Oryctolagus cuniculus: one gene and its partners. The protein of the gene in region 1 purifies or fractionates together with the protein of each later gene. This does not show direct contact. Links are inferred from orthologs where the notes say so. Each region holds a gene or a part of one and is shown in the gene's direction. Other genes may lie near its edges. The genes, in order: CLK2, PSME3 and ACIN1.

Evidence for each region.
Region 2: the proteins of CLK2 (region 1) and PSME3 purify together in Homo sapiens (affinity purification with mass spectrometry; 3 studies listed by BioGRID and IntAct, with this or other methods). This does not show direct contact. The link is inferred for Oryctolagus cuniculus from reciprocal best matches to the Homo sapiens genes CLK2 and PSME3.
Region 3: the proteins of CLK2 (region 1) and ACIN1 purify together in Homo sapiens (affinity purification with mass spectrometry; 3 studies listed by BioGRID and IntAct, counting the BioPlex papers as one, with this or other methods). This does not show direct contact. The link is inferred for Oryctolagus cuniculus from reciprocal best matches to the Homo sapiens genes CLK2 and ACIN1.

What each region holds. Positions count from the first base shown.
Region 1 is NC_091438.1:43,283,402-43,287,360, forward strand, and holds the start of CLK2 (dual specificity protein kinase CLK2), read left to right. Parts: upstream 1-1,389; 5' UTR 1,390-1,686; intron 1,687-3,145; coding exon 3,146-3,315; intron 3,316-3,959. UniProt on the Homo sapiens protein: Dual specificity kinase acting on both serine/threonine and tyrosine-containing substrates. Phosphorylates serine- and arginine-rich (SR) proteins of the spliceosomal complex.
Region 2 is NC_091448.1:20,081,940-20,085,898, reverse strand, and holds the start of PSME3 (proteasome activator complex subunit 3), read left to right. Parts: upstream 1-1,303; 5' UTR 1,304-1,374; coding exon 1,375-1,449; intron 1,450-1,551; coding exon 1,552-1,584; intron 1,585-1,701; coding exon 1,702-1,764; intron 1,765-1,957; coding exon 1,958-2,062; intron 2,063-2,847; coding exon 2,848-2,896; intron 2,897-3,689; coding exon 3,690-3,802; intron 3,803-3,959. UniProt on the Homo sapiens protein: Subunit of the 11S REG-gamma (also called PA28-gamma) proteasome regulator, a doughnut-shaped homoheptamer which associates with the proteasome. 11S REG-gamma activates the trypsin-like catalytic subunit of the proteasome but inhibits the chymotrypsin-like and postglutamyl-preferring (PGPH) subunits.
Region 3 is NC_091443.1:51,939,060-51,942,918, forward strand, and holds part of ACIN1 (apoptotic chromatin condensation inducer in the nucleus), read left to right. Parts: intron 1-948; coding exon 949-2,205; intron 2,206-2,663; coding exon 2,664-2,882; intron 2,883-3,382; coding exon 3,383-3,498; intron 3,499-3,859.

The sequences.
Region 1 (3,959 bases):
TGAATCAGCAGATAGAAGATCTCTCTCTCTCTGCCTTTCAAATAAAACTTTTTCTATATGCACCCTTGATAACAGAATTTGAAGAAATGTGAGATGATAAATCATTCGAATGGTACAGAAATAAGAAACAGTTTAGAAATGCTTATTTTTATATTAAATATTTGAAATCTAATGATTTGTACATAAAGTTCAGTAATATAAAAAAAAACTTTATGCCTGGTACAATACTGGATACATAATGGACATGTAGCAAATGCTTGTTGGATGAATGAATGATTTAGGAAACTGTTCATGATGGAGTGAGATCTCTCCTTTATCAATTCCTTCATTATCATTCCTTTTTCTTCTTCTTCTAGATTTATTCTATTTATTTGAAAGCCTGAGTTACAGAGTGGGGAAGGAGAGACAGGCAGACAGACAGACTTCCATATGCTGGTTCCTCCCCAAATGGCCACAACAGCTGGTCTGGGCCAGGCTGAAGCCAGGAGCTTCTTCCGGGTCTCCCACGAGGGTGCAGGGGCCCTGGGACTTGGGTCATCCTCCACCGCTATCCCAGGCCATTAGCAGAGAGCTGGATCAAAAGTGGAGCAGCCGGGACTCTGGAACTGATGCCCATATGGGACGCATGAGTTGCAGGCCAGCAATTAGGCCACAAAGCAGGCCCCTACCTTTCCTTTTCCTACGTAAAGGCATTTCTAAACCACTTCTAGTTAATGATGTAATCTCCATCTGACTATCCCCAATCTGACAGTCTGACTTAGTTATCCTGCGGTTGTTTTATTTTCCTTTCTGACCACTTCCTCCTATAGCGTCTGTAGCTCTGCCCAGGTTGCCTCAACGTCTTCTCTTTTCCATTCTTTTTTTCGTACATGCAAAGCACGAGAGATACTCTTCGCGTACCCAACGGATGATTCTCCGTTCCTCCGTTAGCTCAGCCCTCCACGCCCTGCCCTCACACGTGCGTAACTTTGTTCAGGACAAAAGGTGGAGCCTCTCCGCGGAGGTTAGCTAGGTGAACTACATTAGAAATGGGTATTTTCGGGCTATCCCAGAGAGTCGGATCTCACCAAGCCTCACGGGACTGAGTTTTGCCGACATCTCGTAAATGACAACCCTTTCTTTTAAATTTCTAAACCCAAGCACGCCACAGATGCGCCCCTGGAAAGAGCCAGAGGAGGGAACGGGAAAGGACAAGAGGCGGGGCGTGGCGAGCCTGGCGGGCATCCGGCGCGGCCCGGCGGCCGCTCCCCGCCCCCATGAACTTCCGCCCCCACCGCCCGGGCCTGACAGGCGGACGCCGCGAGCTCCCGGAGCACGTGGTGGCGCGCGCGGCCCTGGGGGCGGAGCCAGGGGGTAGATGGGAAGCGACGCAGGACGTGGTGCGTGCGTACGTGCTCGCTCACAGCGGCGGCGGCGGAGCGGAGAGGCCAGAGCCGGAGACCGAGCTGGGATCGGGCCCCGGGCGGGGGCGGTGCGAGCGGCGCCAAGCGGATCCTGGGGGCGGGGACGGAGCCGGGGCGGGCGGGACTGGAGCGGAGCCTGGGAACGGGCGGGAGGTCCCAGGGTCTCGGGTTGGGGGGGTGGAGCCGCACTTCGTCGCCGCGGGGGTGCCGGGACTCCGGCCGCAGTGCCGCCGCCATCACGGACTTCCTGTGGGACAAGCGCACGGGCCTCGCCGCCAGAACGGTGAGCGCCCGGGCTGGCGGGCCGCGGGGCCTCGCGGGAAGATGGCGACCGCGGGACGGGCGGGGATAGGGTTGGACGGGGGTGAAGGGACGGAGCCGAGCTCAGGCGGCACGGAGGGCTGAGACCTGCGAAGCGGCAGAGTCGGGAGAGGTGGAGGAAGGAGGTCGGTCCGCCGCGGGTGGCTGCGGCAGATCCGTAGGAAACTCGGGAGAGAGAAGTAGGAGGAGGGGTGGTGGAGTAGGGAGGGGAGTGGTCCCAGAATATCCAAGCTGGCCTGAGGTTTCCACAGCTGCAGAGGGGGAAGCCCCACCGTGTCCCTCGGAGCCTCCGGGAGGAGTTTGTAGGAGTTAGTTGTAGATTTTCTGGGTGAGAAAGGGAGAAGCTAGGGATGCCTTGTTGGGGGTGGGGGGAGGGAAGGCCTGTGAGGCACTTGGGTGATGGCGTGTACGTGGTGAGATGGCATTTATGTGGCTGTGCTAATCAAGGTAGAACCTTGTGCATACCTCTTGGTTTCCTGCCAGCCCGTCAGGCCAGGAATGCATCCGATATCACCGTTTTCTCTTTGAGAAGAAGTTCAGAGTGGGAGCCTGCATTGGAGTCATTAAAACCTTTTGCACACCCGTATTTCCACCCCCTGCCTTGTGTTCCCTCGGCCTGTTTCTGTTCAAGCTGCTCTCCTGTTCTCTTCCTGGATCATAGCTGATTTTTTTTTCCTTGAAGGAAATAAAGAATTCTTGAGCTATACCATTCCGATTCCAATCATTGGAAAGTAGCCACTCTCATCCAAATAGTGCTGCTACTAATTTTAAAAGTTTCTGTCTACTTCCTAAGCCCGCGAGAGCAAAGGTCAACTGGGAAGCTGGCTGTGGGTTGGCAGCTACTGTATTCAAACCTCTCAAGGAGGATTTGGCTGGGGATGTGAGTGCACGTTCCTGGAGCTTCTTGGATTAGCGTGTAGCTGCTGTATGTAGACACCTGGGAACTGCACTTGTGTGCTCAGGGTACTGGTGGCCTGGGTGTAGTTGGAGAGAGAATACACACTGTAACCGAATGCTGTGGTACTGGTGACTCGTGAGGGGTTCTGCGTCACGCGGATCCACACCTGAGACCCCAGCTAGGGGTGACTGAAGCATTCACTGTCTGCCAGTCACGCTGTCACCTGTAACAAGCTACGGCCTAGGCCGGAGAGTCTTCAGGGAGCCATGGTTGAGAACGATCAGTGTGGCACAGTTGAATTTGACATGGGGGGTAGTTATAAAGGGTACGTTTGGGTGGTGCTTTCTAGAGTTTTTGGCCAGTTAGTAGGTGACATGTTCCAGAAAGGAGGAATTGTAAGCACTGAGGAAGCTGTGGGTGATAGACGCAGCAGAGAGCAGGTTAGCATCTCTGGAGCAGCCAGTTCTGGGGAGGCACGGGGACAGGGCTTTCTTCACTATTTCCACTTTTCCTTGCCTTCCAGATGCCTCATCCCCGAAGGTACCACTCCTCAGAGCGAGGCAGCCGGGGCAGTTACCACGAGCACTATCGGAGCCGAAAGCATAAGCGTCGAAGAAGCCGCTCCTGGTCCAGTAGCAGTGACCGGACGAGGCGGCGCCGGCGGGAAGACAGCTACCATGTCCGTTCCCGAAGGTGAGGCCTCAAGGAGAGAGCCGGACTCGCGGCCACTCATTCCTCCGTTCAGCAAGGGCTGGTGCTGAGCAGGTGGCTGAATGTGGTGCCCAAGGTGGCGATGCTCAGGGAGGGGCTGCGGGCGCACCCGGCAGGATGGGTGGGTCGGGGAAGCTGCAGAGAAGGCGCCATTGTCCTCCAGACAAGCAGGAGTCAAATGCCTGTACCTTCAGAGGGAGAGGATTGTGCGCAGAGGACTGGGAGCCGAGGTAGCTAATACTAATGGATTCAGAGAGCGTATTATATCTGTGTATTCGGTAGTTAGTGCTTAGTTTTAATTATTTTTTTTAGAGATTTACTTATCTGAAAGGCAGAGATGCAGAGAAAGAGATCTTCCATCGACTGGTTCACTCCCCAAATAGTCAAGGCTGGGCCAGGCCAGAGCCAGGAGCCTCTTCTGGGTCTCCCATGTGTTGATTCATGCTCCAAATCCCCACAATAGACAGCTAAGCCAGGAACTCTGTATTTCCCGTGTAGGTAGCAGGGATAAAAATACTGCCTTCCACACTGTGCACTATGGGAGCCTGGAGTCGGGAGCAGAGCCAGGACTTGACCCTGGTGTGGGTGCAGGCATCCCAAGTGAAGTCTTAATTGTGACAGCAAAC
Region 2 (3,959 bases), on another chromosome or scaffold:
TCAAAAAAACATACATGCAAACGAATGGGTGAAGAGTGCGCCTTAGGCCTCCGTTAGGAAAACGGATAAGGCACCGCCCTAGCAGTCAGGAGAGCCGGCTTGCGGGGGCCCCCGCGGACCTGGGACACGCCCTGCACTAATCCAGCCATCAGTGTGCCCATTACGTAGTTGACCTCTGAGGTCTGGAAGCGTATGGTACAATGAAAGGTGTTTGTCTCTAGCCACAGCACTTGAGCTGCGGCCAACGGGAAAAGGTAGCGGGAATCACAGACTAAAATCCCGAACTCGGCACCCGGGCCACCCGCTTCCTCCGGCCGACGTCACTGGGGCGCGACGGAGTCGTCTGGCGGGCAGCTGCGACCTGAGAATCCCTTCGGGGAAGGCGAATCGGGGCCAACAGAAAGCCAAACAGTCCCCGAGTCTCTTGAAAGCTCAGTTCTCAAAAAACCAACTCCTACCACCTTCCCTTTTGCTTCACTCTCAGCCAGCTTAGCAGCCGGCCGCGACCAGTCCCAGTCGCAGAGCCCCCAGCCCGACAGACAGCGCGCCTGCGCAGAGTACGCGCGCATCCTCGCGGGAGCCCCGGCGATTGGCTGTGACGTAACTTCCGGCGTGAGCGGCGAAAGCCGGGAGGGCGAGGGAGAGTGCGAGCAGGCAGCAGGCAGCAGGCGGGCAGGCGGACGGACCGCACGGAAGGAGGGAGCGAGCGAGCAGTGAGTGAGCTAGAGACGGCGGCCGGGTCCCGAGGGCAGCCGGAATTCCTCAGGTCCCCCTGGCCCCTCCCCGGAGCCCACAGCGCCTCCGGTCTCCAGCGGAGCGGACACGGCCCGGCCCGGCCATGGCCTCGTTGCTGAAGGTGGATCAGGAAGTGAAGCTCAAGGTAGCGGCACCGGTCCGGGCCTTCTCACCCCTCGCTTCTGTCCCCCAGCCGTCTGACCGCCTCCCTACTCCCCGTGGTGTCTTTGTCTCCCTGGGGACACCGGCTCGGAGCTTCCGCCCGGCTCAGCCCAGCCCCCCACGCCCGGAGACGGCCTTAGGGGGAAGGGTATTACAGAGAGGCCTTCCGTCCCCGCGTCTGGTGATGGAGAACCCGGGGAGACCTCTGCAGGCACGTGTTGGAGTCATTGCTTTCGGCCGGTGACAGCTGGGAGTCCCCCAGCCCAGCGACGCCCCCGCCCCGGGGGCGCTGCCCCTGCCCTTGGCGGCTGGCCCGCTTCCTGTCATAGGCCAGGTGTGAGGTGGGCTAGGCACGTTTGTGATCTCACATCCCCGCATCTCCCTGTCTTTGTCAAATTCAGACAGCTTCAGACGCAGGGAGGGAGGGGAGAGGAGACAGGCGGGTGCTGTCTCCGAGCCCCGCTTTCCTCTCCTGAGATGGAGAAATGGATCCTCAAAAAAATAAAGTATTTGCAGTCTGGGGGCCTCTCAGCTTCTCATTACAATCGCCAGGTGAGGGGCAGAGAGCTGGGTTTGGGATTCCCCATCCTGTCCTTACCTCTGTTGCCAGGTACTGAATTGCTCTTCCTGAATTGCTGTCTTTGTTCTTTTTAGGTTGATTCTTTCAGGGAGCGGATCACAAGTGAGGTGAGTGAAATGGAGAAATGCGTATTGATTAGGAGTTGGGAGTTTCCCCAAGAGGAGGTGATTGCAGAGGGAGCCCTTCCCTCTGTCATTAATTCAGTTGTATTTTCCCTTATCTAGGCAGAAGACTTGGTGGCAAATTTTTTCCCAAAGAAGTTGTTAGAACTTGATAGTTTTTTGAAGGTGAGAGACACTTTGCTTACTTCAGTTCCCCAGCGTCTTCAGGCCTGCCCTTTCTGTCAGATGGAACCAGTTGTGTGCTGACTCTGTTTTGTTTTGTGCTGTAAAGCACTCTCACGGCTTGCCCTTCCAGTGAAATGGTTCTTTGTTCAGCTTGAAAAGACCAATGTTTTGAGGGTGGGCCTGTCTCTTTCAGGAACCAATCCTAAACATCCATGACCTAACTCAGATCCACTCGGACATGAATCTCCCGGTCCCTGACCCCATTCTGCTCACCAATAGCCACGATGGACTGGATGGTGTAAGTGGCCCGTGTTTATCTTTGTGTTCTGAAGCAATAGGTTCTCTGTTTTCTAGTTCCTGGGGAGCTGGAACATACGTCGGGGGATGGTGGCATTGGGGTCTGGCATGATGGCTCCAGGATACTTTCAGACCCTGATGTGCATGTCTAAAACGAGGTGAATGCGCCCCAGGGAGTCTCAGTGCACTAACCTGGCCACAGGCCCCCGTCGCTTCCCAGGCTGAACAGGCTCCTCTTGCCTCCGCTTCACGGCCTTGAGTCTCGTGGCTGAGGCGCTTGCCGTGGAGTCGCAGACCCTGCCTTTTCCGTGCAGTCACCATCTGCGTCCTCTTAGCACACCGATGACGCTTTGTTCTTTGTCAGCGTCTCCTCGGTAGAACTTGCACGTCTGCAGGCGGGAACTGTCTTCATTGTCCTCGTGTCCTCGGCACCTAGCTTTGTTCCCAGTGCCCAGCGATTGCTGAATTCTTGTTAACTGAATATGGTGTTCCCTCATGGAACCAGCAAGTTTGTACATATCCCCTTAATTATCCTCACCGTGCCTCGATTGGTTCCTTTTTCCTGCTCTTTATAGTGTCCTCCCTTTCCCCCAGTTGCTTAAAGTGTTGTGTTTCTTGCAAGGTTGTTGCTTGGTGGCAAGAACATTTCTTCAGGCTTTATATGTACTTGGGAAATTATGCAGAAAAGAACAGGACAACCTACAGGGTCAAGGAACAGTTGACTTGCTTGAAGGGTGTCTTGTGGGTGTGTACGGCAGGCTGATTCCTGCCTCTTTGTGTCCTTAGCCCACTTACAAGAAGCGAAGATTGGATGAGTGTGACGAGGCCTTCCAAGGTAAGAGCCACCCCGGTGCCCCCTGACCTCCCCCTGACCGCCTGACCGCTTGCCCTGGGAAGTAGGATGGATCTGGCGTTCCCTCAGCCCAGAAGCAAGACCTGCTTTCCCAGAGCCAGTGTTCCCAAGTCCCCCGGACAGGGGCGTCATTTAGCATTGACCTCGTGTGGGCCGCTGAGGGGGAGTGGTTGGAGCAGCAGCCCACACAGCTCGCGCGGGTCAGAGAAGCCCCAGTGCCATGTTACTTATTTCCTTCTCAGCAGTAGTTGTTGATGTGTTCCGTCTTTAAGGTGTTTATTTATTTTTAAAGATTTATTTTATTTATCTTTAAAGATTTACTTTGTTTATTTGAAAGGCAGAATTAGAGATCTGTCCTCTGGAACAGACACAATGGCTGGGGCTTGGCTAGGCCGAAGCCAGGAGCTTCTTCCAGGTCTTTTACGTGGGGCAGGGGCCCAAGCACTTGGGTCATCTTCTGTTGCTTTTTTAGCAGGGAGCTGGGTTGGAAGTGGAGCAGCGAGGACTGAAACCAGTGCCCATATGGGATGCTGCTGTTGGCTTAACCTGCTGTGCCACAGTGCTGGCCCCATTTTAACGTTCTTGTTCTTAGACTTCGGGCATACTTTGGATGCTTATCTACTGAGCTGTGCATCTCTGATTCTGTCAGTGGTGCCGTGGTAGGACTGTGACAGATGAAGGGCAGCGGTCAGAGCCCTCACTGGCCTGGGAAGGAGAGTGGAAGATGCCCCGGCCTCCCTCCTGCCTAATCATTCGACCTTCCCATCCCTGCCAGGAACCAAGGTGTTTGTGATGCCCAATGGGATGCTAAAAAGCAACCAGCAGCTGGTCGACATTATTGAGAAAGTGAAACCTGAGATCCGGCTGCTGATCGAGAAATGTAACACGGTGAGGCAGGGGCTAGTGACCCGTGGGCTCACTGCGGGTAGCCCCACTGACACCATGAGACTGGTGGGTGAGGGGCTGGGGGCGTGGCGCTGGGGTGGGCTGCTGGCACAGTAGCTGTCTTAACTCGTGGATTCCTAGCATCTGGCCACAGCAGTAC
Region 3 (3,859 bases), on another chromosome or scaffold:
ACTTGAATCTAAGAAATTAACTGAGGGGCCAGCGTTGTGGTGCACCAGGTTAATGCCCTGGCCTGAAGCACCAGCATCCCATATGGGCACCGCTTCTAGTCCTGGCTGTTCCACTTCCGATCCAGCTCTCTGCTATGGCCTGGGAAAGCAGTAGAAGATGGCCCAAGTCCTTGGGCCCCTGCACCCGCATGGGAGACCTGGAAGAAGTTCCTGGCTCCTGGCTTCAGATCAGCACAGCTCCGGCCGTTGCAGCCAATTGGGGATTGAACCATCAGATGGAAACCTCTCTCTCTCTACTTCTCTCTCTGTGTAACTCTGACTTTCAAATAAATAAATAAACCTTTAAAAAAAAAAGAAAGAGGCCGGCGCCACGGCTCAATAGGCTAATCTTCCACCTAGCGGCGCCAGCACACCAGGTTCTAGTCCCGGTCGGGGCGCCAGATTCTGTCCCGGTTGCCCCTCTTCCAGGCCAGCTCTCTGCTGTGGCCCGGGAAGACAGTGGAGGATGGCCCAAGTGCTTAGGCCCTGCACCCCATGGGAGACCAGGAGAAGCACCTGGCTCCTGCCATCAGATCAGCGTGGTGTGCCAGCCGCAGCGCACCAGCCGTGGCGGCCATTGGAGGGTGAACCAACGGCAAAAGGAAGACCTTTCTCTCTGTCTCTCTCTCTCTCACTGTCCACTCTGCCTGTCAAAAAAAAGAAAAAAGAAAAAAAAAAAAGAAAAGAAAGAAATTAACTGGAAGCAACTTCATTCTTAATTTCCCTTGGGTTTTTTTGTTGTTGTTGCCCTAAGCATATTACTCATGCTTGTCTCCAGTCATACTTGTCTTCTGTGTTGCAGAAAATGTGTGTGGTTGTTTCTTCTTCCTAGGGGTGTCTAATAAGATACTTTTTCTCTTTTGATTGTGAACAAACATGTTTGGAACCATTGTGTATCTTTTCTTTTAGGCAAGAGCTGCAAAAGTCTCTGAGTGCACTGCTGAGGAGGAAGATCAAGAAACACCTTCTAGAAATCTGAGGGTTAGAGCAGATCGAAATTTGAAAACAGAGGAGGAAGAGGAAGAAGAGGAAGATGAGGAGGAAGATGAAGAAGAGGAAGATGATGATAATGAGGGACAAAAACCTAGGGAAGTACCAATCTTAAAACAGTTTGAGGAAGAAGAGGGGGAAGAGATGGCCAGAGCAACACCAGAAGAGGTAATGGATGAAAGACACAAAACTGTAAGGTCCCAGGAACAGGAGGGTTTAGAGAGAGGAGGAAGAGTTACAAGATCCCAGGAAGAAGCCAGAAAAAGTCATCTAGCCAGACAGCAGCAGGAAAGAGAGATGAAGACAGCGTCTCCCCTTGAGGAAGAAGAAAGAGAAATAAAATCTTCACAAAACTTGGAGGAAAAATCCAAATCGCCTTCCCCTCCTCGACTGACTGAAGATCTCGAGAAAGCCCCTCTTGTGCTGCAGCCAGAGCTAACAGTCAGTGAGGAGGAAACTCCCCCACCTTTACTTACCAAGGAAGCATCTTCTCCACCACCTCGTGCACAACTCCAGAGTGAAGAAATCGAGCCCATGGAAGGCCCAGCACCCCCTGTCCTCATTCAGTTATCTCCTCCTAATACAGATGCTGAGAACAGGGAGCTGTTAGTAGCTCAGCATCCTGTCCAGTTGGTGGGAAGCCTGTCTCCTTTGTCAAGTCCTGCAGACACCAAAGCAGAATCTCCCACAGAGAAAGTGCCAGAGGAGAGTGCCCTGCCTCTAGGTCAGAGGAGCACACTGGCTCAGTACCCAACCCAGAAGGCTCTTGAAACTGACTCAGAAAAATCTGCTCAGCCACTCCCTCTAAAAATCCAGGAATTAACACCGGCCAAGGGAATCACAGAGCAGTCTGTGAGGCAGCTGTCCTTGGAACAGAAGGAAGGCAGAAGGGCTTCTCACCCTCTTCTGCTGGGGCACAGATTGAAACAGTCAGCTGATTCATCCTCTAGCCGCTCGTCCTCATCTTCATCCTCCAGTTCTAGGTCCAGATCTCGCTCTCCTGACAGTTCAGGCTCTCCATCTCACTCACCTCCGAGGTCCAAGCAGAGAGATGTATCCCAGGCACATGTTCACACCAACCCTCGTGGTAGACCCAAGATGGACTCCAGATCAACATCAGAGTCCCGGTCCCGGTCCCGGTCCCGGTCCCGTTCAGCATCAAGCAACAGCAGAAAAGTGAGTGTGAGAGAATCCCAGGTTGATGTTCTGTCCGTACACCAGTGTGTTTTCAGCCCCTGTAGTGTCTATCATGATTCCTGACAGTTACAGGAAAAGCCTGACTTTCCTCTAACTTCAGAATCTAATTTTCAATTCATTGATTACTAAATGGGGTTCCTTTTCTTCCTGAGCGGGTTCCTTTGATTCCAGAGAATGTTGAGTCCATTTCTTCATCTCCTCCACTAAATGTAAACTTCTGCGGGGTGTGGACAAGCTTCTGTGTGTGTGTATACTGGTACCCAGCATCTAGATGGAACCTAATGAATAATAGTGAGGCAAGGGAGATTACTAGCTCAGGAAAAAACACAGGGCCAGAAAGATCAAAGTATTCTCTTGGGTCAGCAGAAGTTGGAAAATTCAGTGGTCTACTGAATATATACCATGTATTTTCCTTTATGTGTGTTTCATCTCTTCAGTCACTGAGCCCTGGAGTCTCCAGGGACAGCAGCACCAGCTTCATGGAAACCAAAGATCCCTCTTCTGGTCAGGAGATTGCAACTCCACCAGTGCCACAACTACAGGTCCTTGAGCCAAAGGAGAGGACTTCCACCTCCTCATCCTCTATCCATGTGAGGCATCTGAGCCAGCCTGAGCCAGCGGAAAAGCATGTGACCCAGAGGTTACAGCCTGAGCGGGTAGGCTACTGTGACCTTCCCTTGAGGGAGATGAAGGATTAGGCACGATTTTCTCTTTCGTCTTAACTTTAAAACTGAGTTGTATCGACAAGCTTTAGTGGAAATGGAGAGAGTTGGGAATACCTAATATTCCTGCTTACCTCCTTTCCTACTCCCTGGTTCAAGAAAGCTGTACATGAGGCTGAACAACAGGGTCCTCATCTTCAGGGTGCTCTGGGTCACTTCTCCCTAAGAAGTCCTTTTGTCTGCCCAAAAGGAAGCCTTTTCTCAGTTCTCTCAAAAAGTAATTCTAATAAAATGACTGTTGGCACAGAGGTTCTTCAGGTACCATATTCCATTCCATATTCTAAAACGAAATTGTAAAGATGCAGAGGGCTGCATGTGGAGCTGCTAGCTGGTACTGAGTATGTGCTGCCCTGCCATTTTCCAGCTCTTGGTTAACGAAAAGGAACCAAACAGATTTAAGTAGTTTGCTGTTTGTTTTTGCTGTCACCTGACAGGGGAGCCCAAAGAAGTGTGAAGCTGAAGAGGCAGAGCCACCAGCTGCCACACAGCCCCAGACCTCAGAGACTCAGACCTCTCATCTACCAGAATCAGGAAGGATTCAGCACACTGTGTAAGTGTTGTGTCTCAACTGGGCTATAGCAAGAACTACAAGCAGGGGATAGTCTGCTCCCTAGGGGTCTTTGACTAGGCATTCCTAGTCTGTTTTCCATTATGAAGGCAGAGCTTTTATCTGAACAAATGTTAGACTTAATTACTACTTCAGGACCTGCCACCAGAACTCTTAAGGTATTCTGAGAAGTGATGGTCAGGGCATGAGGAAAACATACCTGGGATCATCCAGCCAAAGTAGTCAACTCCTTTAAGGAGCAGGCACCAGTGTCAGTAGTTGACTTAGGGCATCCTAACTCACATTGACCAGCTCCATTGGAGCCCAGGAGCCTGTTTTCATAAAGAATATTGAGGGTCTGTGA